4 linked regions of the Notamacropus eugenii genome follow. The protein of the gene in region 2 purifies or fractionates together with the protein of the main gene of each other region. This does not show direct contact. Links are inferred from orthologs where the notes say so. Each region holds a gene or a part of one and is shown on either strand. Other genes may lie near its edges. The genes, in order: MAX, L3MBTL2, RYBP and LIN54.

What was found.
Region 1: the proteins of L3MBTL2 (region 2) and MAX purify together in Homo sapiens (affinity purification with mass spectrometry; 6 studies listed by BioGRID and IntAct, with this or other methods). This does not show direct contact. The link is inferred for Notamacropus eugenii from reciprocal best matches to the Homo sapiens genes L3MBTL2 and MAX.
Region 3: the proteins of L3MBTL2 (region 2) and RYBP purify together in Homo sapiens (affinity purification with mass spectrometry; 5 studies listed by BioGRID and IntAct, counting the BioPlex papers as one, with this or other methods). This does not show direct contact. The link is inferred for Notamacropus eugenii from reciprocal best matches to the Homo sapiens genes L3MBTL2 and YAF2.
Region 4: the proteins of L3MBTL2 (region 2) and LIN54 purify together in Homo sapiens (affinity purification with mass spectrometry; 3 studies listed by BioGRID and IntAct, counting the BioPlex papers as one, with this or other methods). This does not show direct contact. The link is inferred for Notamacropus eugenii from reciprocal best matches to the Homo sapiens genes L3MBTL2 and LIN54.

What each region holds. Positions count from the first base shown.
Region 1 is NC_092872.1:315,998,592-316,006,282, forward strand, and holds the start of MAX (protein max), read left to right. Parts: upstream 1-4,667; 5' UTR 4,668-5,077; coding exon 5,078-5,113; intron 5,114-5,863; coding exon 5,864-5,890; intron 5,891-7,691. UniProt on the Homo sapiens protein: Transcription regulator. Forms a sequence-specific DNA-binding protein complex with MYC or MAD which recognizes the core sequence 5'-CAC[GA]TG-3'. The MYC:MAX complex is a transcriptional activator, whereas the MAD:MAX complex is a repressor.
Region 2 is NC_092874.1:300,262,320-300,270,293, forward strand, and holds the start of L3MBTL2 (lethal(3)malignant brain tumor-like protein 2), read left to right. Parts: upstream 1-4,946; 5' UTR 4,947-5,113; coding exon 5,114-5,131; intron 5,132-7,647; coding exon 7,648-7,921; intron 7,922-7,974. UniProt on the Homo sapiens protein: Putative Polycomb group (PcG) protein. PcG proteins maintain the transcriptionally repressive state of genes, probably via a modification of chromatin, rendering it heritably changed in its expressibility.
Region 3 is NC_092874.1:450,827,554-450,834,983, forward strand, and holds the start of RYBP (RING1 and YY1-binding protein), read left to right. Parts: upstream 1-4,097; 5' UTR 4,098-4,312; coding exon 4,313-4,344; intron 4,345-4,857; coding exon 4,858-4,983; intron 4,984-7,430. UniProt on the Homo sapiens protein: Binds to MYC and inhibits MYC-mediated transactivation. Also binds to MYCN and enhances MYCN-dependent transcriptional activation. Increases calpain 2-mediated proteolysis of YY1 in vitro.
Region 4 is NC_092878.1:150,599,184-150,607,109, reverse strand, and holds the start of LIN54 (protein lin-54 homolog), read left to right. Parts: upstream 1-4,583; 5' UTR 4,584-4,600; coding exon 4,601-4,751; intron 4,752-7,115; exon of another isoform or gene 7,116-7,258; intron 7,259-7,926. UniProt on the Homo sapiens protein: Component of the DREAM complex, a multiprotein complex that can both act as a transcription activator or repressor depending on the context. In G0 phase, the complex binds to more than 800 promoters and is required for repression of E2F target genes.

The sequences.
Region 1 (7,691 bases), on a different chromosome or scaffold from region 2:
GTGAAATGACCAAAACCAGAAGAACAATTTATATAGTGACTGTAAAATTGTAAAAAAAAAAAAAAAAAAAAAAAAAGTTTTAAAGACTTACAAACCTAACCCCTCATGACTCCCTAAGATTAATGATAAAGCATGCAATCCATAACAAAGGGCTGATGAAGGGGAGAGATGCAGAACGATATACACGTATGAGAACATTTTGACCAATGTGTATATTTGCTTTGCATAGAGAACTATGCTTGTTTGCCACGAGACAGGGTGTTGAGTTTTGTTTTTTTTTTTAATGGAGGACAGACAGGGTGTGGGGGGGAAGGCCTACTGATAATGATGCTCAAAAACAAGAAATGAAAAAAGGGTCTCACACATGGGAAAAAATATCATACATAGAGGGAGGTGTAGACTAGCAAAACAGCTTTAAAATTAACACACTGAATTTGTTATTTGCAATGGAGATTTATGGTTTTACACACAATTTTCTTCATTTATTTTTCTTTGCATATGGAAATGCTTATGTTAATTGGAGTATGGCAAGTATAGAATAACAAAAAAAATTTTAATTTAAAATTTTCATATACTTCAAATGAACTGGACAAAACAGAAGCCAGTTCCATATACAATCCTCTTTTCTGTTCTCTGTATATTGAAATATTTATGTTTATTGATGATTTATAAGTTCATAATAAATATTTTTCATTAAAAATGAAGGTGTTGGAGAAAAGACAATGTTGCATACCTCCTTCCTCAAAGCAGAGAGGAAGGTGACTATTAAATTAGGATATTTTATTTATTATCAGGCACGACTTTCTTACTGGATGTTTTTACCTGTTTTTCTTTATCAAAAAGGTAGGGTTCCATCTGGAGGAGAGGAAGGAAAGTGACTATCATGTAAAGATAAAAAGCATCAATTAAAAAAAATTAACAAACTTCCCAAAGAAGAACCTCCTTAATTATGGCAGAAAGGTGGAGGAACAATTGGGATAACACAAATGTTTCTGTTTAATTGGGTTGTTTGGGGGTTGTTTTGCAATGTTGGGTTTAATCTAGAGGGATGAGTAAAAAAAGATTGTTATAAAGTTATTAATAAAAGATTATAAAGGTATCAATAAAGCAGTTTAAATGAACTGATTTCACACCTTTTGTTGGTATTTTTGTCACAAAACAAATTATTTTTAACATAAGAGCCAAATAAGTAACTTTAAGGACTCCAACTGAGGTTGAGAATAAACTAGGTCTTGAAGCTTTCTCATGCTCTCCACACTGACCAAAAAATTCTCAGGCACGTATGCCAAAAAACAGTCTTCACAGAAAAGCATTAGCAGAGATCTGCACCACTATCAAGCACCCTGGTATAGTATCACTGTGTTAAGGAAATAGCCTCTTGGGCTTCTGGAGGATATATTACTCATCTACCACATGAATGTTAATTCCACATCAACCAGGTGAACCTTAAGTCATATAAGCAAGCTCTAACTGGGAGGAAACTGAGTACTTCAGGAGACAACATAATCTCTATATTCCCACCTTGGCCTTCTAGGAGAGGATAACTTGTCAGTGAGGTCTTTGAAACACCACAGGTTTAAAACAAACAAGGAGCCCTTGTCAATCATAAAACTAAATATGACATCAGTGATTTATCACTTGGGCATGTTAGAGTAGAAATGTCTAGTTCAAAAGGCAGATATAATTATAAAGTACAGATATTATCCTGATGAATAATGGTTTGCTGGTCCAAAAAAAAAAAAAAAAACCATAACGAAGCATAAGTACACAACAAAATATCTATTTAATCTGGGAGCCTAGTATGAACCGGCAGTATAGTGGAGCAGAGAGCAAGATTTGAAGTCAGAGAAGCTGTAGGCTCAAATTCTGCCTCTGACACTTACTAGTTGTGAGACTTCAGATAAGTCACTTTACCTAAGATTTAGTTTCCTCCTCTGTAAATTGGAGGAAATTATTTGCATTATTTACTTCTGTGACTAAGGATCAAATGAAATGAGGTAGGAGATGCATTCTTCATACTTTCAAGTGTTATTTAAATATTACTTATCAATTTGATAGATAACACTCACCATTCACAGTCTACTTACTTCAAAATTTCAGGGATTTGTGATTTCAGCCATCTCACTATTTCTCCTACTTTTGAAGATCAAATTCCTCTATAACTTAGGTGATTTAGCAGGTTCCTGTGGCCAAAAAAATCAATACTAGGTCAACCATTTGGTTGCAAGCTTCTCCAAAGCTCCAAGCTAGTCTGCTTTTTATACAGTAAGTATATCATGTCTTTAATCAATCCTGTAGCTGAAACATTTCCAACTTGACAAGACCTTCTAGATCTTGTACTAGGTTGGCATAACTTTGAGAATCCAGTGCCACTTCCACACCAGAATGAAACACACAAGTGGGGCTTTGATGGAGGTTCATGTTACACCAGATGATAAAGCCAGGTTAGTCTGAACTGATATTCCTATTCACTCTTTCCATAAATGTTGAAGGATTTACTTGTTTTTACAGGGGAGGGTCTGGACCTGTCATTTCATTACAGAAGGTTCTAACACTACTAGTGTTAAAAAAAAAAAAAAACCTTAAAAATATATCTAGTTCTGATTAATTAGGTTGCCATCCCTGAAATAATTTTATGATCTCATGCTTTGGGATCTTTGCTCTTCTAGCCTTTCATTTAATGATGAGATCAAATACCGTTGAACAGTTTGGAGAAAGGTGAGATTTAGACACTTTAAAAAAACTGAGAAGTCAGTTATAAAATGGAGAAAACAATCACTTGGGAGAAAGTGCTGAGTCAAGTTGCTGTCTCCATGGATAGTGGTAGATCAATCATATATTTTAAAGCATTTAATGTATTTGGGAAGCTACTAGGAGGCTTAGTGTATGGCTGTGTGACTCTGGCTTAGACATAAACGTTCCTGGTCATATTTAATCATAAGAGTGTAAATGTTAGCTATTATTATTAAAATAGCTCCATTTGGGGGAAAGTTTGGTAGAACCATGTGAGCCTGAAGGACTGTTTAGCTTTTGTATATGTTAATATTTAATAAGGTGACACAGTGGATAGAGTGCCACGCCTGGAGTCAGGAAGACATCTTCCTGAGTTCAAATTTGGCCACAGACACTTAGCTTATTAGCTGTGTGACCCTGGGCAAGTCACTTAACCCTGATTGCCTCAGCTCCTCATCTGTAAAATGAGCTAGGGAAGGAAATGGCTAATCAATCCAGTATCTTTGTCAAGAAAACCCCAAATGATGTCACGAAGTCAGATATGACTGAAAAACGAATGAATATGCACAAGATTTAATAAAGTATTTGTTAAATTAAATGTATCAAACACATTGCCATGTCACAGCAGCAAAGGCACTGAATTTGGAATCACAGATTCTGGATTCAGATGAATCCTCTGGAATGAAAAGATGGCAGATCACGGTACTATATATATTCAGAGGTGGAAGAGACTTCAGATGTTACTTAGTTCAATCCCTCCATTTTTCATTTAAGGAATCATACAGGTAAGGTTTGAAAGTAATTTTCAAAACCACATCATTGGACTCCATAGCTCGACTCCTGCCACTACACCATGGTCCTTCAAGCTACTTTCTCACTTTACAAATAATTTTATAAGTAAAATGTATTAATTTAGTAATTTAATTTTTAAAATTTAAATTATTTAAATTTAAATTATTATTTAACCCTATTCAGGGTTCCAATTCTGACCCCTGAAAGACACCTATTAGGTTCTAGGGGCTGCTGGGGATGCTAAGACAAAAATTAAACAGTCCTTCCCTGAACTCAAGGAGTTTACACACTACTGGAGAGATACAACAGGTACTTAAGCAATATAAAGCGTGTATAAAATACTGGGTTGGGGGAGAGAGGGAGTTCAAGAAAGGCCTTGGCATCAGGGTCTTTCCAAATGACCCAGTATCAGTTTCCACTTCTCACCTTGGGCCAAGCTTTATTTGCCGCTTTCCTCCCTTTAGGTGTCCTAAAAATTAAAAGGTGGTCATTTCCTTTCAGTGTATTTTAAAACTGGACGGATTTCACGGAGACTGTAACATTCTGGGACCTCCTGGGACACACCGGAAACAGTAAAGACGCACACAGCCTCAGGCTCCCAGGACCAGCGATTCTGGGTCTGAGACAGAAGGCTCCCACTTCCGGGCTGCAGTTCTCACCTACAATGGTTAACGCCTCTGCCCAGGCTCTAAATCCTAGGGACAAACAGGCTATGGCTAGCCGGGTTCTCCCTTCCGTAGAGTTCCTCCCTGCAGCCCCAACCCAGGGTGACACCTAGATGACTGCAACACGTGGCCGGTGAGTCAGGGGAGAAGGCCAATTATAAAACCACAGAGATGTGAGATAATTAGGACGCCCTTGCGCCGCGCTGCGTGCGTGAGAGGTTTCCCCACCCTCTCCCGCAGGCCTACTGCCCAGCAAAGCGTGCGTGCCCAGACACCCCACTCCACTCCCGGAGCTCCAGCAGCCTCCACGTGTCCTCTCCTTACCCAGCAGCCTCTACGGCTGCCCTGGGAGAAAAACCTCCTGACAACTCGCTCCACACCCCCACCACGCCGAGTACTACAATTCCCAGAAGGCTTCACACTCCCCTTTCTCCCTCCCTCCTCCGCGGGACACGCAGGCGCTCTTGTTCTCATCAACAAGCCGGAGAGGCTCTGAGTGTTGATCGTGCCTAACGGGATTTGTAGTTCTTCCTGGACCTTCGGTCCTTGGGCGGCTGAAGAGGGGTGGACTCCAAGTCTCAGCGGCCCTTGCGCGGCGGAGACCGGTCACGTGGGCGGGGTGGGCCGGGCGTGCGTGCCGCCGTTGATCCGGTGCTGCAGTGAGGAGGTGGTTCTAGCCTTGTTGTGTGTGAGTGTGTGTGTGTATGTGTGTGTGTGTGAATGTGTGTGTGAATGTGTGTGTGAGTGAGGGAGTGAGTGAGGGAGTGAGTGAGCGAGCGAGCCAGCGTGTACGGCCCGGCTTGTTGTTGTCCCTGACTTCCCCCTCCCCTCCACCCCTCCCCCTTTCCCAGCCGCCGCTGCAGTGGCCGCTCCCTGGGCCGTAGGAAATGAGCGATAACGATGACATCGAGGTGGAGAGCGACGTGAGTCCCGGGGTTTCTTCCTTCCCGTGTGTGTCTGTTTGGGGGTCGGGGCCAGAGGCCAGAGACGGAACCGGACGGGGGTGCGGCGTGCAGAGGCCGGGCCGCTTCCTCCTCGCCCTTCCCCTCCGTAGACGGGTCCGCCGTCGCCGTCTCGGTCCGGGCACTTTCCTCACTCGCCCGGCCACCACGGCCTCTGGAGTCCGGATGGGGAGGAGTGGCCTTGGGGAATCCTCCCTTCCCCCCAACTCTTCCCTCATCTCACCCCCGCGGGGGGGGCAGCCTCACCAGGGCCAGTCTACCCCCCTCCCTGATCCCCCCGCCCGGTGCCGGGATGGGGGTACACTCCGCAGCCCATTGTCCAGATCCAGGGAACGGGGACTGTGCTCAGGCCCCTTCCTCCGACCCCCCCCCACCCGTTCAAGATCCCTCTTCCTTTATCTATTGGGGGAGGGGGGGAGTTAGGGTGCCCAGAAGGCCCTTGGCATGGGCTGACGAACGGGGGCATTCAGGACCCCTTCCCCCCAGCGCATCCCCTTTGGCTGGGCTGGATCCCGGAAGAAAGGGCGGCGCACAAGACACACGCCCCCCACCCCCAGCCCAGCACGGGATCCCCGGCTGGGGGGAAGGGAGGAGGGTCGGGCTCACTCCCCATCCCCTGCTTCCTTCACCGCCGGCATTTTCTTTCTTATTTTTGAATGTGAAGCGTAAAAATAACTTCTATATTTTCTATTTTTCTCTCTCTTATTCCAGGAAGAGCAACCGAGGTTTCAATCTGCGGTACGTCTCCTTCTCTCCATTTCATTTTCATTTCCGTTCAGTTCTAATCCTTTTCGGGGTCAGAGAGAGTTCTGTTACTTTCAATGTTATGATGGTAAACTGCACTGTGAAATGCTGGAGGTGAGGTGGGGACCTACGTCGGGGGTTCTAGATGGGGAGAAGGGTTGCAAACTTCATCATTCTAGATTGTCAGGTGTTAGGTTCCATTGAGGCTGAGTGAGTGGGAGGAGCTTTGTCCATAGGAAAGGATCTCATTCTTGAGGGATCAAATCCAAGGGATCTGTAGAACCACTGTTTGGATTCAGGAAATGGAAGAAGCTCTGAATTCAGTTGTTGTCAGTATTTGAAGGCAAAGCAGCCTAGAGAATATTTGGAGACAAATAGCTTTTAAACCATTGTTACTTTGGAGGCACATGTGATTATCAGAAATGAAGAGCCATATGAATACTGTATTCTTTAAAGGGCTTAGCAGTATTACATCAGAATGTAATGCAGAAATTGAAGCCACAAGTTGCACATACCGGAACAGTAGCAGAATGTCACTGCTCTAGACCCATGGGTTGAAGTAGGTTTTGAAACTAAAGAGGAAAAGCTTTGTAGTTGGTGTGGAAGAAAGGCATGCCAAGACAGAAGAAAATGTGTTAGATCATTTCTTTGGTTTTCTGTATTAATGTATTTGATACTTGCTTCCGTGGATGTAGATATGTAGTTTAAATTGATAGAAACCTGGAAGTGTTCAGTGAATTTGAAGGGGGTGGGGAGAAGAGACTTTTTGTGGGGCACAAGAGAAAAGGAGATTAGAGTGGGAAAGGGAAATGAAGCACAACAGAGTCCCTGATAGTTTGCATTTGGAAGCAGTAAGGAATAATAATTATTTTAAAAAGAGAAACTTGCTGAGTTAAGACTTGATTTAACAGAACAAACCGGGATTCAGAATCTTTTCCAGAGATCTGGGGCTTCAGAAGAATTTAAACAATATTAAGAGAAATCTCAGGATGTAATTATTTTATTAGACCTAAAAACTGTTTCTGATTGTCATTTGTTACAACAAAAATTCATTTTAGTGGACTGAAAGATTCCTTATTTTGGATTTTTTGTTGTAAATCTTCTTAACAGTATATCCACTTTAACATTGTACTTTTTTAAGCAAAATTTTAAAAAATATTTCACTTTTCTCCTGAATTCCCTTGATGCGATTTGAAAATGGCCCCCAAATGAAGGATGGTAAGAAGGGCAAAAGAGCCCTTGAAGAACGTCTTTTCCAGACTCTTACTTAGAACAACTAGTCATGGGCTTTCAGCAAAAAAACAGTTTTCTTTGTTGAGAGAAAGTTGCTTTTTCAAGCCCTTTTTCATTTTAAAATCATTGATGTGTTGATTTTAAATGGACATGAAATGATTAAAATGTACTTCTCTGCACCTTAACATCTAATCTTTGGTTAAGTGTTAAGATATCTAGAGTTTATCCCTTTGATTTTTTTTTTTTTTTGGCTTCTTTTTAATTTGGCTTGCAGAGACTTTCAGACATCTTGCACAAGGTAATCACAACAGTATTACAAGCATGTTTTTCAGTATCACAAACAACTATTAGGACCTGGTAGAGGAATAAGAATTCCCCTTCCTATCATGTGTTCCAAAACTCAAGGCCTGGGCATTTTTTGTTAAGCTGAAAGAAATTCCCATTATAAAGCAACCATTTTTAGGCCTTGACTTTTGAAGGAAAATCAAGCTGGAATAACAGGAAAAAATTTGATCATATTGTGAGAGTTTTAAAAGTTACTTAGAGAATATTAAGTTTTACA
Region 2 (7,974 bases):
AAAAGGTATCAAGGAAAATTTATTACAGCAGAATTCAGAAGTGGGATTGAACACTTTGGCCAAAGCGGGCCCCCACCCTCTCTTCAGGAGCAGGGAGCACTGAACACAAGAAGCGAGATGAGCTATATACTATTAGTTCAAGACAGATCATCCCACCAGGAGATGAATTGGTCCATTGTCCATTAAGTCACCGTCTTCTCCATCTGCCCATTACATGACCACCCCTCCCAAACATGCTTTAACATAGGACCCATGATCAGAAAATGGAGGGATAATTTTATGAGTCTGCTTATATGCATGAGGTTCATTAAGCAAGCGCAGTGAGGAAAAGTTTTCTCCAGGTTATTCTAGGTCATTTTTCCTGACTAGTTCAGGCTGGTTTCAGACCTGGATATTCTTATAAAAATTTCTGTGACTTTCTGAAGGCCAGTCTGTCTGCTGATTGGTTGAGTCCACCTGTAGTCTGCTAACTTTCTTATTATCTGGCTTATTCTCAGTGACTTCATCAGCTAATAACTTCTGTGGAAACTTAATTTTTTGCATCTCATATTTTCAATTAAAACAGTGAAGAAAAGGGGATGCAGAAGACCCAAGTGTGTTTTCAAAGGGTTCAATCTTAGCCTCAACAAAGAGAAGACTCAGGGAATTTCCTCTCAGCATCGCCTGGAGTTATGCCATCAACAAAAGAACCGAACAGCCATGGCTCCTGTCATGAGTGTCCCAGATCATGTTATACGACCAGGCTCCCTTTCACCCACCTATTTCCCAGACCAGGATGATAACAGATGTAGTAGCCGTGTGCCTCTCTGTTTGGGTAATAATAACAATAGCTAACGTTTATACAGTGCTTGCACAGCTAGGTGGTGCACTAGGTAGAGTGCTGAACCTGGAGGCAGGAAGACCTGAGTTCACATCCCACCTCAGACACTTACTAGCTGTGTGACCCTACGCAAGTCACTTTCCTCATCTGTAAAATGAAATAGAGAAGGAAATGGCAACCCGAAAGGGGTCACAAAGAGTAAGACATGACTGGAAAAAAAAGGCTAAAAATATACTGTTTACTATGTACTAGGCATTGTGCTAAGTCCTCTACAAATATTATCTTCCTTGATCCTCCTCACAACAACCATGGGAGGTAGGTGCTATCATTATCCCCCTTCTACAGATGAGGAACCTGAGACAGACAGAAGTGAAGTGACTTACCCAGGGTTACATAGCTAGGGAGTATCTAAGGCTGGATTTGAGCTCAGGTCTTTCTATCTCCATGCTCTGAGTCTAGCTGTTGTGCTCCAGATCAGAGTTAAGAAGCTGTGCAAAGTTGCAAAATTGTTTTTCTTCACAAATAGTTGTAGTCCTTTTATCAGCTAGTTCTGCCCATCATGCTGCATCAGTTCATACCATCCAGGATTCTCTGAAACTGTCTCTTTGTTCATTTCTTATGGTGTAACACTATTCTATTACATTCACAAACAGCAGTTCTTTTCGCCATTCCCCAATTGTCTAAGAGGCAATATGATACACCCCTGTAGAGTCTATTTTTTTCTCCTTTGTTTTCCACCTGCAGGATGAGAATATTTATTTGGTTTATGATGTTTCCCTCTTCAACATCATTCTCTCTCTTAATCTCCACCACTTTTTTTCCTCCTCCAGTTGAGATGGTTGGTGTTGAGCCTGTGTGTGTTTTCCATCCTCCTTTTTTTATTTTGGGTAAGAGTGAGGTTCATTAAACACCCACTTCCCCACCCATTCCTCTATGTTTGTATGTCTTCTCAACCCCCACAATTAAATGAAATAATAATTTCTCCCTTTTTCCTCCTTTTAGACACTAGTACAGTCCTCTTTTTACTCTCTCTCTTTTGGCAGTTAGTCCAGTTTGACTGAAACAGTGTGTTGAGGGGACCATGCCACAGTCTGAAGGTATTAGTGGAGTCAGAGGGGCAAGGCTCAATGACTTTGAACAAATTATTTTCCTTCTTTTGAACCTCTGTAAAATGAAGAGAGTTGAAAAAAATATTTATTGTGCTAAATACTGAGGATACAAAGAGAAAATTGAGACAGTTCTTGTTCCTAAACATCTTTGATTCTAACTGGAGGTAGAAAGCACAGGATAGGAGGATTCTGATGCAGGACAGAAGGCAATCTTATTAGGGTGCTGCAGCAGGGTGGATGGTAAGGCCTAGTGGTCTTCTTCATAACTGGGAGAAGAGGATCTGACCATTCAAGGACCAAATTCGATGATCCTATACCATAACCTCACTCTACATATTTAGTCTTTTCTCACACTTTTCCACTCATTTTGTCTATGAGCAGTCAGTCTGGACTATGAGATATACTGAAAATATTGTGCTTTTCTGCCTCTAGGCCTTTGGTCAAGCTAATTTTTGTGCCTAGACAGATCTTCTTCTCCTTGTTCCATTTTTGAATTCCTTTTGAATTCATCTAATTCAGATACTCAGAACTGTAAAGCAACCTGGCATGTTGAATAGGGCATTGCATTTTGAGTCAGGAAGACCTGGGTTCGAATTCCACCTTTGATACTTACTAAATGTATAATCTTGGGCAAGTGATTTAATCATTCTGGGTTTCAGTTTCCTTACCTTTAAAAAGATGTTGGAATCCATGGTTTCTATTGTCCCTTCCAACTTTAAATCTATAATGTTATGATCTACCCTTTATGGCACCCAGAACAGGGCAGGCAGCACAGGATTTACCTGGTTGCTTCTGTGTCTAGCCCAGAGGAGCTTGCCTGGAGAACAAATAGATCATTATGTATTTTCATTATTTTCATTTTCATTATCTATTTTCATTATCTATTATCATTATTTTCAAGTCAGTTCAACAAGTATATATTGAGTGCCACCGTGTACCACAGACTGTGCTAAATGCTAGGTATACAAAGAAAGATAAAAGACAGTCCCTGCCCTAAGGGAGTTCACAGTCTGTTGGGAAAGACCACATGCAAACAACTATGAATGAGCAAACAAGTTACAGATTGGATAACTTGAAGATAATCAACAGAGGGAAGGCACTAGCAATAAAGGGGGATGTGGAAAGACTTCTTGTAAAAGATGGGATTTTAGCTGAGGCCTGAAAGAAGCCAAGGAAGCCAGGTGGCAGAGATGAGGAGATAGAACATTCCAGGCATGGGGGAATAGCCAAAGAAAATACCCAGAGTCTGGAGATGCAGGTTCATGTGCAAGGAACTGCCAGGAGGCCAGTGTCATCAGATTAATGAGTGTGTATCAGGGGACCATTGGAAGGGTAGGACAGAGCTAGGTTACGAAGGGTATTGATTTTGTATTTGAGCCTGGAGGCAATAGGGAGCCAATGGAGTTTATTGAGTAGGGGATGACATGATCAGACTTGGGCTTTCGGAAAAAATACTTCAGTGGTTAAATTGAGAATGGATCGGAGTGGGGAGAGATTTGAGGCAGACAGACCCATCAGCAGCTACTACAATAGTCTAAGCATAAGATGATGAGCATCTGCATGAGGGTGGCGGCAGGGTCAGAGGAGAGAAGGGGGCATAATTCTGCAGAGGTAAAATCATCAAGACATGCTGCAGCGATGAAATCAACAAGAGGTGCTGCAGAGGTGAAATCAACAAGAGAAGCTGCAGAGGTGAAATCAACAAGAGATGCTGCAGAGGTGAAATCAACAAGAGGTGCTGCAGAGGTGAAATCAACAAGAGAAGCTGCAGAGGTGAAATCAACAAGAGATGCTGCAGAGGTGAAATCAACAAGAGAAGCTGCAGAGGTGAAATCAACAAGAGAAGCTATAGAGATGAAATCCACAGCCCTTGGAGACAACTTGGATATAGGAGGATGAGAAAATCCAGGATGATTTGGAGATTGGGAGGCTGAGGGAGAATGGTGATGCACTCGGCAATAATAGGGAAGTTAGGTAGATTATGAGAGGCAACAGGCTCAATGGGCAGAGAATAATCCTGGGAGTCAGAAAGACCTGAGTTCAAACCCTGTTTCTGTCTCACATAACCCATATATGACACTAGACAAATCTATTCACCTTATTGCCCCAGACAGCTCCGAACCACTATAAATTACAGAGAAGGTAAAGATCTGCATTGGTGGAGGGAGTTTCTTCATTGGAAGGTGAGTGAGAAGAGGAGCGAGGCCAATGGAGCAGAGGCAGCTATATTCTACATGCAAAACCACAAAAGAGCTCCTTTTCTTGGTGGTGGTGGGGGTGGGGGTGGGGATCACTGTCAGTAATCTATACACTATCCAAATGGTAGAGTGCAAACAATACTGAACTTGGAATCGGTGCGACTTGGCTCTGAACCTCTTCTCTGTATTTATTAGCTTCATTATTTTGGACAAGTCTCTTCCTCATCCTGTGCCTCACTTTCTTCCTCTGTAAAATGAGGGGGGGTTGCACTGGATGGTGTCTCAGGTCCCTTCCAGCTGTAATTTATAATTCTTTAATTTATAGGTCATCTATAATCTGTAATTCTATGAATTGATCTTGAGTCAGAGCACATGGCTTTAAATCTTGGCTCTGATTTTTCTAATAATGTTATCTTGGGTAAGTCCTTTCCCCTCCCTAGGCCTCAGTTTCTTCTTCTGCATAATGAGGAGGCTGGTCTAGACTGGCTGCTGAGATCCCTTTCAGCTCTATCTCTAGAATCCATCACTTTCCTGGACCTCCATTTCAGCTTCTGTATAATGAGGGTCGCTGGCCTAGACAGACTCTGAGATCCCTTCCAGTTGACGCCCTAGGATCCCTTCAGCTCCCTGAACCTCAGTTTCCCCCTCTGCATAATGAGGGGCTGTCCTACACCGCCTCCGAGATCTCTTTCAATCCAAAGACTGAAGGCTTTATCAGCCTATGTCCTCTCAGCTCCGTCCCGCCCCCTTCTCACTCCCGGGACTACACTCCCCACAAGGCTTAGCGGGCCTATCTAAGCACGCGCCAGGATGTGGGCGGCCCTTCCTGCTGCTCTCGGCGGCGACTGGCCTGGCGCCGCGGGACGGCTACCAATGGGCTTCGTGCGGGCGGAAGGCGCGGCGGCCATGGCGGCGGCGGGCTCGCGGTGAGGGCTTCGGCTTGGGTTCGGGCTTCGGGCTTCGAGCCTCGCGGCCTAGGCGGCCTCATGGAGCGGGGCCTCGAGGTGAGCGTGCTCTGGTCGGGGCCCGGCCCGGAGAGCCCAAGCGCCCCCTGGGGCCGGGCCGGGGTCCCCTGCGCAGGGCGGAGGAGTAGACGGGGAAGGGGAAGCTTTGTCCCTTTAACGGTGGGTAAACTGAGGCACGCGCAGTCGCAGAGGCGGGGGACCGAACACGTGCTTGCTCCCGCCGCAGAGGCGCCCGCGACCCTTAGCCGCGGTGACCTCGCAGGCCTTTTACAGAGAGGGAAACTGAGGCCCGGAGAGGCCTGGCCCGGCGTCCGGGGCCCTCGAGGGAGGCTGGCGCGCCCAGGCCTAGGGGGGCCTGACTCTTCCTTAGCAGAGGGAGCTCCCAGGGGAGCGCACTCCCTCCGCCTCCCCCACCCGCGGCCGTGGGCTTCCCCGGGGGGCCCCGGTGGGGGAGGGGGCGGGTCAGCCTGGGGGAGCCCCCCCCATACTTAGCGAAGCCCCCCGGGGCCCCCAGCTTTGGGCAGAGGCCGAGACCCAGCCAAGGTCACCCAGTCAGAGCTGGGCCTCGGATGGGCTTTCCCGGTAACCGGGCTTGGCATGCAGTAAGTGCTTAATGAATGCTGCTTGGCCCGCCCCGCCCCGCCCCCCGGGTGCCTCTTTTTGTTCCTGTCCTGGATACTAAGACCAGAGCTTCGCCGACTCCCATCGCTCCGGGCACTGGGCCGGGCTAACATCCGTCCGTTGGCCCCACGGGGTGGCGTTATTTGTATTTATTGTGCTTGTCATCATTTGTTTGACCCCACGTGGAGGGAGGGAGGGAGGCAGTCAGTGTTAAGCACCTGCTGTGTGCCCCACGCAGAAGTCAGAGGCCCTTCCCAGCCTGCCGTCCCTTGGCGGCTCTTGTCATCTCTGCAGATGTTACTGCAATGACCCTCTCTAAGAACTGGAGGGGATTGGGGGCTTCTTGGTAGTCACCTAGAAGGCTTTCCAGGTACAGTTTTAGATTCCTGCACCAGGGGTATCCTGGTTTAATTCACCCTTTTGTGCCTTAAAAAATAGATTTGCCCGAGTCACCCTCCAGCAGCGTCCTTGGTGGGTGGAAAAGAAATAAGGGTGAGCAGAACCCCCAGACATGGCAAGGCCCACAGTGGAAGTCAGGAGTAGGCTCCCAGCTTTGGTGGGGGGGTCTTTAGGGTCACTCCCTCTTCCCTTGGGCCCCTCCCTCTGTCTGCTCCTGAGCCTCTGGGCAGGCCCACTGCTCTGCACCAGTTCCTATGAGTCTTTTCCAGGTTTTCTCTGCATTTGTCGTCTATGTCATTTTCCATGTCACTCTGCATGTCCAGGCCACCTTTGGTTCCGCCACACCCCTCTTGGGCCCGCCGTGCTTTCCTGAAGAGCTGGGACTGTTTTATTATAGGAGGCACCTCTGTTTCTGTGGTCAACCTCTCACTAGTGGGAGGCCTGAGGTGGGAGTTGCAGCTTTGGTCAAATCATTTAAATCTGTCTTCCCGAACAGCTCCACCAAGACTGTATTGGGGTCCCCCGCCGACAGGGACCGGTCTCTTCCTTTGTCATCTTTGCCCATTTTATGACTCACATGTCCAATAAGAGTTACTTGAATTGGCTTTTCTCTTATGATTAGTGATTTTGGGCTTTGGGGAAGGCATCCATGTCCTTTCCCCTCCTCTCTTATTGCCCTACCCCAACTGTGGAAAGGCCCAGTTGGTCACCCCCTCACACCTGGTTTTGAGTAAGCTCAGTTTTAGACAGTGTATGAGGAAGTGTGCCCAGAGACAGACAGACAGACAGACTGACAGACATACCCACCTCTTCCTAATCCCTTGGTTCCCTTTATCATTTCTTAGACCTCTGTCACTTAGCACAGCTAAGTGTGTAGTTCTTGTGTTTGTCCTTCTTGAAGAGGATCATGACGTAACTCCTGCAGCAGACCTTGATTTGAGTGAGAGGGCTGTCCAGTTATTCTGATGAGTGTCAGGCCACTAGATCCAGATGGCTCAGGAGATGAAAGTGCACAGCCCTCCCTCACTCAAATCAAAGTCAGCTATAGTGTATTGAGTGGTAGGGACTCAGTAAATACTGGGTAACTTCACTTGTTGACTCAGCTGTTGAGTTGGGGGTGGGGAAGAAGGGGTATTAATGGTTGTGTGTGTGTTTTCACATCACCCTCCTTTCTGAAAATGTCCCCTTTCTCTCCTGCTTCCAACGTGAGCTCTCCCTTGTCAGAAAGAGTCACCTTTTTCATTGTCCATATGGGACAGTATTTCTGGGACCTTTGAGGGGGTCATTGGCGGGGAACCAGAGACCCAGTGCAGAGGCCAACCTGGGGACCTTCTCTAAGCCTCCTCCTTCCCTGCCACACCCAGGTGCTCAGCAAGCATTTATTAAGCACCTGCTCTGTGCCAGGTGGGCCCTATGTGCCAGTCCTCATGCCCAACCTGTGGAATTCCGAGGAAGACAAAAGGCAGGCCTGTCCTCAAGGAGCCCACGGTAGAACAGCAGTCTGCCGTCCTCACTTTCTGTTACTTTCCCACCAGGAGACACCCTCCTCTGAGAGAATGGAAGATGAAGAAGAGGAAGATGAGGAGGAGGAGGAGGAAGAAGAGGAGGAATTGGACCTCTTTGGGGACTACGACACCTTCCAGGGCTACACCAGCAGCCTGGGCAGCGAGAGCAGCTCCTACCTGGAAGAGTCCAGTGACAACGAGAATGAGCTGAATGACCGAGAAGCCGGGGAGCTCCCCACATCTCCTCTGCTGATGCCCAGCCCCATCACCCCTCGCTCCCAAGATGGCAGCGGTTCTGAGCCAGGTGCTTTCCAGGGCCCCTGAGGTCATGGGCCAGGCCTGTGGAAATATCCCAGC
Region 3 (7,430 bases), about 150 Mb from region 2:
TGGCATGTATTATCTCCTCTGAGACTCACAAGAGTCTTGTGAAGGAGATGATACAAATGTTATTAATGCCATCTCACAGCTGAGGAAACTGAGGTTCATGCCTAGTACATTGCACACTGGAACCCAGGTCTCTCCTGATTCCATGTTCAGTGTTCCTTCTGGTGTGATGAAATTTGTACTTCTGAAACTCTCTATGATCATCCCATCAGTTACAGCAGGATGATGGAGGGAACACACAGTGGAAATCACAGATCCTTGAGGTATTGAAGTCTAGGTCTGCTGACTGTTTGCACAGTTTATATAGTAGCTCACCTCAAAAAAGCTGCTAAATGTCAAAGTCAGAGAGTAGCTGAAGTAGCACCAAGAATTCAGCCGAAATTTCCTCCAGTTAATTTGCTCATCTGAATCATCTCAAGATATCCCTAAGTGAAATGAGCCCAAGTCTCCCCCGTTACTTAGTTGCTCTGAGACATAGTTCCCCTTTTTAAGCCCCCAGAGAACTATTTGGTACAAAATAAATATTGTCTTACAAACTAGAATTGAATTCTTAACTTTTTCACATCCATTCTATCACTGAGACCCTAACCACACCAGAGCATTTCAGAATGTTCTCTTATTTAGGATTGATCAGTTTCCCAGCACAAATGCCCAGACCCCTCATCCCAAAATTATTTAAACTTTTATAATGCATCTATATCTTTACATCTAAAATATTAATTCCAATTAGTGTAAAAATCCTTGAACAGGGCCCTGTTTATTTTTTAAATGTCATTTTCTTGTCAATGGCTGATATCATTTTTAACGTGGGTGGGGTATGGGGCCAGTCTGTGGTGTTCAGGTTAAGATTCTCAAGCTTTTACCTGTTGGTAATACCTTTGTTAGTTAATCCAAGGTTTAAAGTCCAAGACCCAGGATATTCAGAATTTTATTCCTTTGTAGAGGAGTGTTTTCAAATGTAAAGTTGAGAAGCAGTTTTTGCAATGTGATAGTTGGTCTTCTAGTTCTTTCCTCTGTCTCCCTTGCTCCTGCTTAGGCAGGGCTGTTCCTGGGCAGAACTTGGAGGGCTTGGGCTCCTGGCATATTGCTCAAGCTGCCTGGACCATCTTTCCTTTCCGTTTTTTTTTTTTTTAAGGGTGTTTTTCCTTTGTCTTGCCTTTGGTGTGAGCTATGTTCTACACAACAATGGTTGCAAGTTGTCCCTTTGGAGTAGAATTTGGTGAACTCTATCCCCCTTCCTAAACTTGAGCTCAATAAATAAAAGGGGTCACTCAATAGATCACTCACTCTCCCTGGCTCATTTTAGGGTTCCTAAGACCGGACAAGCCTCCAAAGCTATAGCGATCTGCTCCCAAACGAAACAGGTGCCTATTACCATGACAGCAAGCACCTCCCCCAGCCCAGTGAAACTAAAAACTAAAAACTACACCATCATTTTATATTCTAGCCTATAGGTTTGGATTTAATTCAACAGACTTTTACTGAACTCCTACTATGTGTAAGCCACAGTACTAGGTCATAGTGATAGAAAGACAAGGAAAAAAAAACCAAGACTGACAAGGTATTTGTGTACCAAAAGTTTCTCAAGGCTAAGTTTAACTAGTATCTACCATTGAAATAAAGGTAAATAAATTATCCATCAACAAGGCCAAGTGCAGCAACGAGTTAACTACTGACCAGGGACTTAAAAAAAAGTCTACCATTACTGAGACACTATAGTTAAAATGAGGTAGTTCTTGTGTGGTGTGGGGACTCTCTGTGAAAACTTCAGGACAATAACATCTTTCCAGGACTGTTCTGGACACAAAATGTTCACAGCACCACTCCCCACCCCCTCCTCCCCACCTTCTATCTGTTTTCCCCTCCTCCTCCTAATCCCTTTGTCCCTCTCTCACTTTTTTTTCTTCTTCTTTGGCATCCTTGGGCAGGAAGGGTCACAACCCTGGTCGTTCTCTGAACTAAAGAGGTTGCTGACCCTTGCTCTAAACAGGGACGGTATTTCTCCGGCTGGGTGCAGGGTGTGCCTAGTTAGAGTACATCATGTGCTGAATAAGCTTATCTTTGACACACTCCCTCCCGCCTCCTTTTATTTCTTCCTTTACCAGCCCCCCTACTTCCTCCTCCCCTACAGCTCCTGCTTCAGATGGATGGATGGGAAGGCTTCCCTCTTGTCCTGATTGGGTTCTCCTTCTACTGAATACCAATTATAATAATAACACCCTGTGCATAAAGGGTCTAATCTCTAAGGAACTCCAGAGGGCACCCAGCAGGCCCGTCCTGGCTTCCCAGTCTTCCAAATCTTTACTTTTCTGGAAGAAAAGTATTGCCTAAAGAAATGCATCACTTAATCTCTTGGCTCCCCTGGAGGAAGGGTATTACCAGGAAGGTAAAGGGTAGTTATATTTCTTTAACACAATTATAATTCTATTTATAATGGATTCTAAACTCCCCCCCCCCCCCCATTAAGGTAGTAGCATCCTTACTTAAATTCAAGGGGATTGGGACAAGCACGGTTTACGTATTAGTGGGTTACAGCATAGGACCTAGAGTGGGAGGGGACTGCCAGATGCCAATCTAATTGTACAGGGCAAGCTTTATGTACGTGATCTTATGCGAACCCCACAATCACCCTGGGTATTATTATCTCCATTTTACAGTCCGGAGGTTGTGCTCAAGGTCACCCAGCTGCACTGGGATTCAAACTCAGGGCCTTGGCCTCCAGATCCTGCGTTCCTTCCATGGCACCCCCATATCAGAGGCAGAACCTGGATCCGAATCTTCCCGACCCCACGGATTCCAGCCAGAAATTTCCCCCTGCCCCTTTACAAAATGATTTGGCTCCAACTGCCCTTAAGGAGAAGCTTTCCCAGAAAACATAAAAGCATCGAAGGGGCGCAGCACAGCACCAGACGGACCCCTGCCCATCGCCCACCCACCAGGATGGTGCAGAAAGTGCCCGGGGAGGGCAGAGCGGGGGATTCCACCAGGCTGAAGTTAGGGGAAGGGAGCGCTGGAGGCCGGCGTGTCTGCCCCGCTCCCCTCCAAACGAGGGCACCCTCGTCCGCCCGGCTGGGCGCAGCCTCGCCTCCCTCCTGCCCGCGGGCGTGCATCCCCTCCGGCCCCGCGGCGGCCGCCGGCCAGGGTGGCCAGCCCGGGCCGCTCCTCCGCCAGGTGCGGGGCCAGGGGCGCACACGCACGGCCCGGCGGGCATGCCCTGCGCTCTGGGGGCAGCGCGGCGTCCACACCCGGGTGGGGGTCCGACCCAGCGTCCCAGGGCCCCCACGCGTGTGCGTGCTCGGACTCGGCGGGGGGTCCCTGACAGCCCACGCCTCAGGAGCCATGCCATGCCGACTCCTTTCTCTCCCTCCCTCCGTCCGTCCTCTCCCCAAGTCTGGCGGAGTCTCGGCTTGCTCCTGCCGGGGCGCTCGAAGCCCCGGCTACGTCCTCTTCCCCACCGCGTCCCCTTGGGCGCCCTGGCTTACACGAGAGTAGGAGGGGGGCCTGGGGTGCACGCGGGGCCGGGAATGCTGAGCTGGGGGGGCGGGGGACACACGCAGACGTCCCCTACACAGATGTACACACAGCTCTGCGTCCGGAGACGCACAGACACGTGCACGGACACATGCACAGACAAACAGACACACACACACACACACACACACACACACACACACACACACACACGGCACCGCAGGAGGGCCAGGCGCCGGTGCAAGCGCACACAACACACACACACACAGCACAGAGGCGGGCTGAACCCTAAGAAACACACACGCACACGCATGCACACACAAGCAAAGGGGCCTGGGCATGCATGCAGACATGCATGCATGCACGCACGCACCCACGAGCCCCCCCCACCACCGCGCACACGTCCGCAGCTCTCTCCCCCCGCCCGCTTCTCCCCCTTCCCTCCGCTCCCCCTCCCCCTCCGTTCGGAGCCTCCCCCTCCCCTCGTCGGAGGAGCCGCGCGCCGCCATTGGTCCGCCGGGCTGGTGACGCGCGGCGCTCGACCCCGCCCCCAGTCAGTCACTCGGCGGAGGCGGCGCTGGCGGGGACTAGTCTCGTCCGGAGACTGGCAGCGGCGGCGGCGGCAGCAGCAGCGGCAGCGGCAGCGGCAGCGGCAGCAGTAGCAGCGGCGGCGGCCGGAGCTCGAGCCCGGGCGGCTTCGGGGGGGGGAGGCGAGGAGGACGGCGGCGGCGAGGACGGCGCAGGCGGCGGTGGCCGCGGCGGAGACGCGGCGGCGGGCGGCGTTTCGTTTCTCCTCAGCGCGGCCCCTGTTGTGCGGAGGGGGGGGCGGGGGGAGAGCCCATCCATGACCATGGGCGACAAGAAGAGCCCGACCAGGTACCTGCTCCCGCCGCTCGGGGCCGGGGCCGGGGGGAGGGGCGGGGGCGCGAGCCGCAGCGGGAGGAGGAGGCGCCCACGACTAGGCCCCGCCGCCGAGCCCGGGCCGTGGCGGCGGCGGCGCGCGCGGTGGGGGGGGCCCGGAGGAGGAGGCGCCGCTAAGATGGACGTCGGCCCGGGGCGGGCGGCGGGAGGCGGTGTCTGCCGGCCTGCCTGCCCGCCCGCCCGCTTGCCTGCGGGGCCGAGCGCCGCCTCCTCCTCGGCCGCAGCCATGGCGGCTCCTCTTCCCCGACCCTCCCAGACAAAGGGAACGGCTTCCCCAGGTGGGGAGGGAGCGAGGCCCGAGGAGGACGCCCGGGAGGGGGTCCCCGCCCTTGTCGGGCCTGGGCCACGCGCCACGAGTGGGCCGGGGAGGAACTTCGGGGGGGGGGCCGCTCCCGTGAATTGGGATTTCTCACCCGCGCGTGTGTTTGTTGTTCTCCCCACCCCTCCCCCTCCCCCCACTCCGCGAAGGCCAAAAAGACAAGCGAAACCTGCGGCCGACGAGGGATTTTGGGATTGTAGCGTGTGCACCTTCAGGAACAGCGCGGAAGCCTTTAAATGCAGCATCTGTGACGTGAGGAAAGGCACCTCCACCAGGTACCCCGCGGCCCCCCGCCCCCGACACACGCACACACACAACGCACACGCACACGCACGCACTTGTTGATCGGTCGTGCCTTTTACCTGTGCCTGACTCATGTTGCTGTCGAGAGCGTGGGGCGCACGCTCGGAGAGTCTGCTTTTTTCGGTTTCCTGTGAACAGAATTTGGACCAATATTGTCATAATTCAGAGTTTCCAATTCTTTTTTTTTTTTATCCCATTTCATAAATTGAGAACCAGCGCAGGGGCCTGAGCCCTTGACTTCACAGACGGAAGCACTTCTTTTCTCCTACACGTCTGTGGGGAGTGAAACGGAATTTTCTTTTTGTCACGGGCGGAACGGTTGGGTGTGTGCCAAGCCCAGGGAGGCTTTACGGGAGGATCCCCGAGCACCCCGCTTGTCGTCCCGTAAAAGCCGCAGCACTTGGAAGGGCTGCGGCCGGAGAGGCAGCTGAATTGGGGCTCTTTAAAGGCTCGGCGTCGGGGCTTGTAAATTGCAACATGGTGAAACTGATCAGGCTGTAAATACTGTCGTGCTGGCTTTGTGCCAGGAGTAGCAGCTCGGAAAGTTCTTGGTGGTGGCATACCCAGTCCTGAACGGTGCCGACCCGGGCTCTGGCGAGCTGGGCTCTCCTAGGTGCAGGTTTTGTGTGTGTGAGAGAAAATTGGGAGAAACTCCTGTGGTTGCTTCGGAGTTTTTTGTTTCCTTCCCTGTTGTCTTTGAACAGAATTTGGTGCAGTGTTATCATAATTTGGAGTTTGAGTTCAAACTGTTGTGGTCCTCATTTGATGCCCAGATGTTTGTGTATATTCTGGGTTGGTACTTGGAGTGGATTGCCAAAAAGTGGGTCGTTTTACCAGGTGTCTGTTTTGTTTGGGTGGTAGTCCAGTGTGACTGTAGTATTTCAAATGCATAGCATTCGGTAACTTGCATGGCTTCATGATTAAAGACTCTTCTTTATGTAGTGCCTGTAATGTTGTGCTTTGATTTTTATACTTGAGGTTAAACATAAGTAGTTGGGCATACTTTTAAGCTTATAACTTAAGACTTAGTTTAGATTTAAGTAGTATACTTGAATAAATAAATCACCTTGAAAAAAGAAAGAAAAGTGGACCACTGAAATTGGTTATTTTAAGAGCTGATTTTCCCTAGTTTTTGGTGGTGTTCATCATAACTTTAGGAATATATTATTCTAGATTGAATTTGCTTTGAGGCGGAGGAATATTTTTTTTCAGTTTCTTAAATGTAGATTTCTGTCAAATGCCATTAAATTTTGTACGTTATTATTATAAGCAATAGCATGTGGATTATTTCTTTACATGTAAAAACCTTTATTGTGGTTTTACTTTGAGGGTTACTGTAAATGATGGGTGTAGTACAACGCAATGACTGGGAAACTCTTGAACTTTTTAAAAAATAGATTATTATTGTATTGAAACTTAAACCAATTAGTTTACATCTGATTTATTGGTGAATGAAAATATCTCGTAATCAAGCACATTTTATTGTATTTTATGTTTGGATAAAATTTGAATGTCAGCTTTTTATCCCCCAAAGTCACAAATCATGACAGTACAAATTCTGGTTATCTGTATTTTTTGCCAACCTTGTGTGTACTTAAAATGCTTGTTGAATTGAGTAATTTAATGCTCGGTCTGTTCAGACAGTAAATCTTTAAGGGATCATAATGAAGAATTTGAGTTTTGTAGTGTGAACTTTAGAATAATGTCAAATGTTTAGTAGCATTTGTGTCTACACAAATTTAATTTGATAGCATACTATATAGTGTTGGTATTTTTATATAATTTCAATAATAAACCATTTGAGTTAATCCGAAGTCTCTTTCAAGTCATGGCATTATTATGTGATTTGTGATGTAACTACCCTGGTTCTAGTCAGGCTTATTGCCTGCCCACCCAGTGGTGGTGTTTTCAGGTCAGAATTATTCCTTGTTTTTGAGGTTAGAGCTACTCTAGAAATTATAGTTAATTGGAATGCAGATAGTATTTTGATAGTATTGTAAAGGCTATGTGGAAGGGGCACGTTTTACTGGATTTCAGTCACCAAGTGCAGCGTTTTAATGCTTGCTTATTTTCTTGGTGATGGTGGTGGTGGTTGTGTTTGTTCCTTTTCTACCTTCTTTCCTTGTTATTTTTAGGGACTTAGGATGATGTACGAGCACCACAGTTGGTAGTTGATGTACTATTTTCCTTGTTTGTTGCTGTTGCCTGAATGGTTGAAAAAGAAATGTGTAGAGCACTCCATTTAAAATCCTCATAATGTCTATTGGTTTTGTTAGTTACGTAGGTTTTATAGAAATTGGTTGAATTTTATTCTGCATTTTACATATGGACACCTGAGAAGTTGTATTCCCAAAAGGCACTTTAGAATTCATTAAGCACCTACTATGTACCAGGCACTGTGTTAAGCACTGGGGATACA
Region 4 (7,926 bases), on a different chromosome or scaffold from region 2:
ATCTGGACTCCTTTACCAGTGCCATGGGCCTGGATGTTGTGCTGTGAATTGAAGTATTCCTAGCCTGAGAACCTCCAACATAACTCCATGGCAGTAGGGGTTGAAGGGATTCCTGATTCTTTGTTTAAATTGTCTGGCCAATATTGAGAAGTAAGATAGGAAGGGGACAAAAAGGAATAGGAGGGAACAGAAGGGAATAAGGATTTCTATAGCAGGGCAGCGAGGTGGTGCAGTGGTTAGAGCACTGACCTACAGTCAGGAGGATGGGAGTTCAAATCTGACCTTATACACTTACTAGCTGTGTGACCCTGGGCAAGTCGCTTAGACCCCAATTGACTCCAAAACAGCAACAAAAACAAAAAATTAAGGATTTATATAGTATACACTAGTGCTAGTTTGAATTTGAATTGTCTTAGGAAGATTCTGTGGCAGGATAAGGTACCAGACACTGAGGTCCTTACTCGAGCTAAACTTCCATGCACTCAAACTATGCTTCAGAGAGCACAATTCTGAAGGGCTGGCCACGTGGTTTGAATGCAAAACATATGCTTGCCAGAAAGCATATTTTATGGAGAACTCACACAGGACAAGCATTCACGTGGTGGTCAGAAGAAGCAATAGGAGGACACTCTCAAGGTCTCTCGTAAGAACTTTGGAATTGATAGTGTGAATGGGAGACACTGGCACAGGACCGCCCAGCATGGCATGCCCGCATGAGAAAGGGTGCTGTGCTCTATGAGCAAAGCAGAACTGAGGCAGCACAAAGGAAATGTAGGATGCGCAAATTTAGAGAATCCATCCCAAATGTTCACACGGACTATCTGTGCTCGGCCTGTGGCAGAGCATTCTGAGCTCATATTAGCCTGATCAGCCACAGTCAGACACATGGAAACTTGACTCCACGGAGATGTCATCTTGGTTCTCCTTGAAAACAAAGGACAACAACCAACCAACTATTGCTAGGCACTTTTGTAATTAATATCTCATTTTATCTTCATAACAACCCTATGAGGTAGGTGCTATCATGATCATCATTTTGCACTTGAGTAAACTGAGGCAAAGAGAGGTTAAATGACTTGTCCAGTAAATGTCTGAAGCCAAATCTGTACTCGAGGTCTTCCTAACTCCAGCCGAGTGCCAGCAGCCTCTAAGTCATCCTGTAAGGCTCACCCTCCGTCATTCAAGAAATTCTGGGCTTCAGGGCATTTTTGGTCCCATTGTAATACCTAAGCACATCGGACAATCTCCTTTATTAATGAGGAGAAGAGAGTTTTCAAGTAGTTGCCTGGTGAAGAAATGGTGTGGAGCTCCCTCCTAAATTCACCTGGCGCTGATGTGATTAGATTTCTGTTGTAAGGTCAAGGGTTTTCTTTCTTTTGCTCTTCCTTCCTTCCTTTCCTTCTCTTTCTTCTTTCCTTCTTTTTCTCCCCTTTTCTTCTTTCCTCCCTCCCTCCCTTCTTTCCTTCCTTCCATTCTTGTTAGGGGTACTCCAGAGTGAAGAGGCCTGAGGGAAGTTAATTCTACATGAGATGGCAGGTGCAGAATGGTGGCAAAGTTGGCCGGAGGCTCTTGATCCAGCCTTCCAAACTTAGTTTGTCATCTCCCCATGAAACCTTTTCTGAATCCTCACTCCATTTCTTACTTATCTCTCCTCAGAGTACCTATGACACTGACAATCTGTAACATATGCTTTAATACTGCTTTTATAAAAGAAATTTTTACTGAAGTATCAGCGACATTTTTCCTAGCGTTCTTTCTCCTCCCTTTTCTAGAGAGCCATTTCATAAACCAAATATTTTTAAAGAGAAAAAAATCAACAAAATTGATCAATACATTGAAAAAGACTGATGATATGTGGAATATCTGCTTTTAATTTCATCACTTCTATTCTCTGATTTCCATTTTATCAGTTTCTCTAATTTTCAATATATTTTTGTTGGTTTTCAGTTTTTGAGAATTTCATACTCTAGTCACTAATTCTCCTTTTATATTTTGTTAATATATGGTTTTTGAGAAATAATTTTTCCACCTCTTGCCAAGGAGTGGCTGTGAGCATCTTCTTATAAACCTTTTGAGAAGCAATGATTGTTCTTTGTTCAACTTGTTCAGCCTTTTCCCGGTTGATGGGCATTGACTTAGCTTCCAATTTAGAAAAGTACCCTAAAAAAATGCTGCCAATAAATACTTTGGTGGATACAGAATCTTTCTTCTTATAAATGACCTCCTTGCCTTGTGCTATATGCCTAATAGTAGAATCTCTGGGTCAAAGACAATGAACATAATTCCAAATTACATGATTCCAAATTGCTTTCCAAAATGGTTGTACTGAATCACAGACTTCACCAACAATACCTTAAAGACCCTATCTTCCCTAAACGCCTCCTCTGTTAACTGTTCCCATCTTTTGTCATCTTTGTCATCTTATAGATGGTAAACTGAGACCTCAGGCTTGTTTTCCTTTTTTCTTATTGTTAATCATTTGGAATATTCTTTCATATGGTCATTTGTAGTTTGCGGTTCTTCTTTTGAGAATTGTTTTTCCGTATACTTTGATCAGTTATGTAATTGATGCTAGTTGGCAAAGTAGATAGAACGCTGGCCCTGGAATCAGAAGGGTCGGAGTTCAAATCCAGTCTCTGACACTTACTAGCTGTGTGATCTTAGACAAATCACTTGACTCCACCCTGTTTGCTTTAGTTTCCTCATCTGTAAAATGAGCTGAAGAAGGAAATGGCAAAGATACCAAAGTGGGGTCATGGAGGATCAGACACTATGGAAACAACTCAATAACAATATGAACAAAAGTCATTCCCTACTTGAGGGTCATATCAGCAAAACGCTGCATAACAGCAACATTCTATGTATAAAGAAAATACAACTGCTTTTCTGTTTTTATTACACTAGCATGATGTAATATACAATAATACAATATAATGCAACACAATATATTTTATACCGTTTTGTTTTGTTATTCATGTGAGCATATCTCGTCTTCTCAAAGTAGATAATACGCTGCTTTAAGGTGAACATCATGTTTTATATTTCTTCTGCAGTCTGTTCAGTGCCTAGTGTGGTACAAGGTATTCAGTAACAAATGTCAGTGGATTGAATAATTAATCTCTGCTGTGAATTCATTTCTCCATTTATTAGACTAGGTTAAAACTATCTTCTATCACAGATCTATACCTTTTTTCCCCACCTCCAGTCTTTCCCCTTTTCAATCTATCTTCCCCATAGCTGACATATTTACAGTCCTAAAACACTGTCAGTCCCTTACCTGGAATGCATTCCCTCTTCACCTCCAGCCCTTAGAATCCGTTCCTTCTTTCAAAGTTTAACCCAAGCCCCAGTTTGTTCTCAAGACCTACGCTGAACCCCTCCCCGCCCAGTAGTTTTCACCCTCCTCACTGGAAATTATATATAGTTTGTTTTATATATGTGTGTGTATATACATATATATATATATATGAAAGGGTAGTCATGTTTTCGTTTTTGTATCCCCAGTCCTTAGCCTGGCACATAATAGGTACTTATTAAATGAATGAAAATTTATTCAAATTCACACTATTTGGAAGTGTGAAATGGATATTAATTGGTTCCAGCACTAGGGAAATATGCAGCGCAAACTCGAAATAATAAGAAGCCTTCTAGGGATCCGTTATTCACACTCTTCAGAACCTAGCTATATGTAAAAATGAAAAGCATATATATTGGAGACAAAGAAATTCCCTAAAAATAACTGTCACCGATATGATCTTGGGCAGATCAGTTAACTTCTCTATACCTCAGTTTCCTGAAGTGTAAAACGGAGGCAGCCACATGGGGGCCGTGTTCCTGGCGCCAGACCTGGGTTTGAGCTGCCTCAGACACTCACTCGCTGTGTGGTCCTGGGCCAGTCATTTAAGGGTTCTCGGTCTCAGTTTCCTCTGCTGATAAAATGGGTTGCTGGGAGGACCAAGGGATACACAAGCGTCTACGTAAAGCCCCTTACAAACTTTAAAGCGCTGTTATTGTTGCTGCGGTTGGGTTCGTCCTTCGTTTTCAGAGAAGACCAGGACATCAGAGAAATGATGACGTGACTTGCACTGGACTTTGTTTGGAGGGAGGGAGGCTGTGCAGGAGCTATTATTGTTAATACGATGAGCGGGGGCAGATCGGGTCGGCGAGCCCGCGGCGGGCCTCATCGGAGACCCCAGGTGCCTCGGGGCTTTCGGGCAGGTGGATTCTTTTCTCCTCCCGTCCAATCAGTTTAGCGACCAGAACATAACGCTACGAAGCTGTTCTTACTGTTAGCCATCAGTCCCACACTCTCCTCGGTCAATTGCACGGTGGTTGGGCGGGGGAAGGACCACAGCCGCGGAAGACTTCCTTAAAAGGGAGTGTGTGGGGGGGAGCAGGAATGGTCTCTTCCAACTGCGATCTTCCCCCTCCTCTCTCACTCCTATGGAACATTCCATCCCAAAGCTCGAGCGCACGCTCCTAGTCACGTGGTGACCTACGCCCAGCGTATTGACGACTCTACGGCCGGGTTGCCAGGGGAGGGAAACGGCGACGAGGGAGGGAGGGGGAGCGGTGGGGGGAGGGCTCAGCCTATTATGGGATGCGGCGGTGGAATGGCGCTGGGCGCGTGATTTTGAACAAACCTGGGTCTGTGTTTCACAGGCGCCGCCGCCGCCGCCGCCGCGGCTGCCGGGAGCGGAGGGAACGCGGGGCGAGGAGGAGGCGGCGGCGCCGCCGGCTGTGGTGGGGGGGTGAGTGTCAGCCCCCGGGACGGGGGGGGGGGGAGGCGGCGAGGGAGGGGGGACGGAGGAGGGGGAGACCCCGCGACTGCCGGGGATGGGGGGGTTGTTGGCGCGCGGAAGGGGGGGGTGAGCTGTCAGTGGAGGGCCGGCGCCAGCGCGGCTGCGCGGTGTGCCGGGCCGGGCCGGGCGGGGCCGGGCAGCGACGGGCAGCGACGGGCAGCGGCGCGGCGCCCGCGCGGGGGAGGGGGCCCTGCAGCCCGCCCTGCGCTCCTGCCCCTTTGTGTGCCATGGCTCCCCTCCCTCCGCCGGGACCTCCCCTTCGCCTCCGAGTAAAGTTTGGGGAAAGAAACGCTCCTTCCCTGCTGGGGGGTCTCCCCCCAAAGCAGAGAGCTGCCCCGCGCCCCAAGCCCGCGAGCGTGCCAATCCTGCCCGGCTGGTGTCAGAAAAAAGGGAGTGACAGCTGGGGGCAGCCCCTCCCTGCCCCGCCCAAACCCTTCCCTTCCCCCTAACCCCGCCGGAACTTCGGGAGGGTGGGGGAATGGCAGACCTGCTCATACCATAAGTAATAAAATTGATAGTAAAGTTCACCTTGGTGTGGCGCTTACTGTGGGGGAGGCACTGTGCTGAGCGCTGTACAGCTTGGACACGGACACGGTCACCTGTGGGTGTTTGTGTGTGTATGTATGTATGTATGCATATATACACAGATAAAATAACAGTGCTTGTTATTTTATAACACAGCACAGTGTGCTGTGTGCCAGCCACCGCGCTGGGGACATGCAGCTTATACTATGTGCCAGGCACCGTGCTAAGCGCTTTACAGTTGTTATTTTTATATACACATAATGGCTAACAAACATACGTATATATGGGTGTATGTGTATACACCATATATAAAACAGTTAACATAGGGCCTACTGTGTGCCAGGCACTATGCTAAGTGCTTTACAGCTAATGCACAGACACATGTACATATATGTGTGTATGTATACTTATTCATATATACACAGACAGAAAATAGCTAACAGGGCCTACTATGTAGCCAGCATTGTGTTAGGTATCTTACAATTTATATACATACGCATAAAATAGCTAACATAGGGCCTACTACGTGCCAGGCACTGTGCTAAGCGCTTTACAGTTTATACAAACACACACATAGACATATGTATGTATGTAGATACAGCTAACATTTGTAATGTTTACTATGTGCCAGGCCCTGTGCCAAAGGCTTAGCAATCTGACGTGTATATGTATACACACATATTCATGGCTATATATGCTCATGCATGTCTATGTCTATATGCACTTACATACTTTATATGTGAAGCACCTGCCATATGCCAGGCACTAGCGATCCAAACATTTCTACTGAATGTTGTAATTCAACATAATTTTCTCTTTGGTTGTTGATTATCTCCCACTTTTCCCCTGTAGATTTTGGTTGAACATAGTTTTCATGTTGTCTCCTTAGTGAGACTGGGAGTTCCTTGAAGGTAAGGATTGTTTTTTCCCTTTGGGTTCCCTGCCGTTAGCAAAATGCCTGGCTCGTAGTAGGCACTTTTATCGGTGCCTGTTGACTGGTTTGCAGCTAGAGGTTGAAAAAAAGAACGCTTCTTTGTATTTGAGTCGATCTTCGGACTGCATTTAGTAAGAGAGGCTAATTAGGGAAACTGACATAATCCGGAGGTTTTGTGTATGTTACTGTATCGGTGGCAAATGTGTATTTTAAGTTAGAATTTGATACTATGGAAATGATTGTCAATTTCAGCTCAGGGTAGATTTCCCTTTTTTAAATCAACAATGTTAATAGCTTTTGGATCAGATGGCGATTAGGTTTACATTTCTTGAGGTCCGAAAGCGACCCGGAAGGTTGAACAGCAGGTCTGTTTTATGGGCAGGAAGGAGTAAGTCAAAGGAAGTGGACTGGGGACTGATCGTCTGGAACGTGTAGAAAGTATGCATTTTAAAGATGGGATTTTGGTGACCCCGTCTGTCTGAACCCGCCTTGGCCAAGGTCCCGCCCTCTCTAGGCTACCCCAGGAGCTGGTCCTTTCCAGCCGGGGGAAGGGGGAATGTATGCCCTGAAGGTGTTAGCGAGCTGAGGTGGTCATGGAGAAACGCGCACAGCTCCCGCTGGCCTTTCCCCTTGGAAACTTGAAGTTTGGGTCGGGGGAATCCCTCCCGGCCTCGCGCGGCTTCCTACCCCAGCCCGCGGCTGCCGGCCGGCGCTCGAGGGCTCGGCCCGCGGCGCGTTTGAAGGTTGGCGCGGCGCGGGGGCGTGTCCCGGGCGGGGGAGGGGCGCCGCAGAGCCGCCGCGGGCCCGCGCCCGCCGTGCCGCCGCGCCGCCGCGCTTCTGATGACGACGTGAAAATGGCGGATCTTTCGAAATCCAATCCCGGCCCCTGACATCCCGGCGGCGGCGGCGGCAGCGGCGACAGCGGAGGAGGAGCCCGGCTGCGCCGCGAGCTGCCGGCCTGGGACACCGGAGAGCCCCCGCCCTGAGCCGCCCGGAGGTGAGGGCGATGCGCCGCCGCTGCTGGGCGGGCAGGAGGGGGAGGGGAGCGGAGCGGAAGGGACCGGGCTGGAGGCCCCGGGCCGGGCGGGCAGAAGGGCTGGGGGCCCGGCTTCCGAGTCGTGCGGCCCGGGTGCCGGAGCAGCCGCGGGGCCGGAACCCCGCGGTCAGCCGCGTGTGTGGTGCCGGGGGCGAGGGGGGGTTGTGGTTGTTGTCGTTGTTGTTGGCCCGGGAGCGGGACGTCAAGTGCGCGGCGGGGGGTGGGAGGCGGGGTGACCGGGCTCCTCGGACCGGGGGTTTGAGGAGGTGACATTGGTCGTGCGCTGGGGCGACGGACGCGTCTGGTGCGCAGACCCCGGGCCGCCTCCCCCGTGTAGCCGGAGGAGCAGCTGCCCCGAGGTCTGTTGGGTCTTGGCAGGTCAGCGATCCAGGCTGGCCTTGTCTAGAGGAGCCGTACCAGTCCGGGTTCTCCAGGTAACTGTCCAGGGGCCCTTTACAAGGGTGCCCCACTTTGCCCCTTTGAGTGGACTTCTGAAAAACTGTAGTGGTCCCCAAGAGCCTACTCTATTGCTCTCTCTTTCCTGAAATTCGTTTACTGCGGCTCCAGAGCGGTCCATTTAGTCAGTAATTATACCTGGTCGAAACGAATGTGTTCCTGTAGCTGTGACT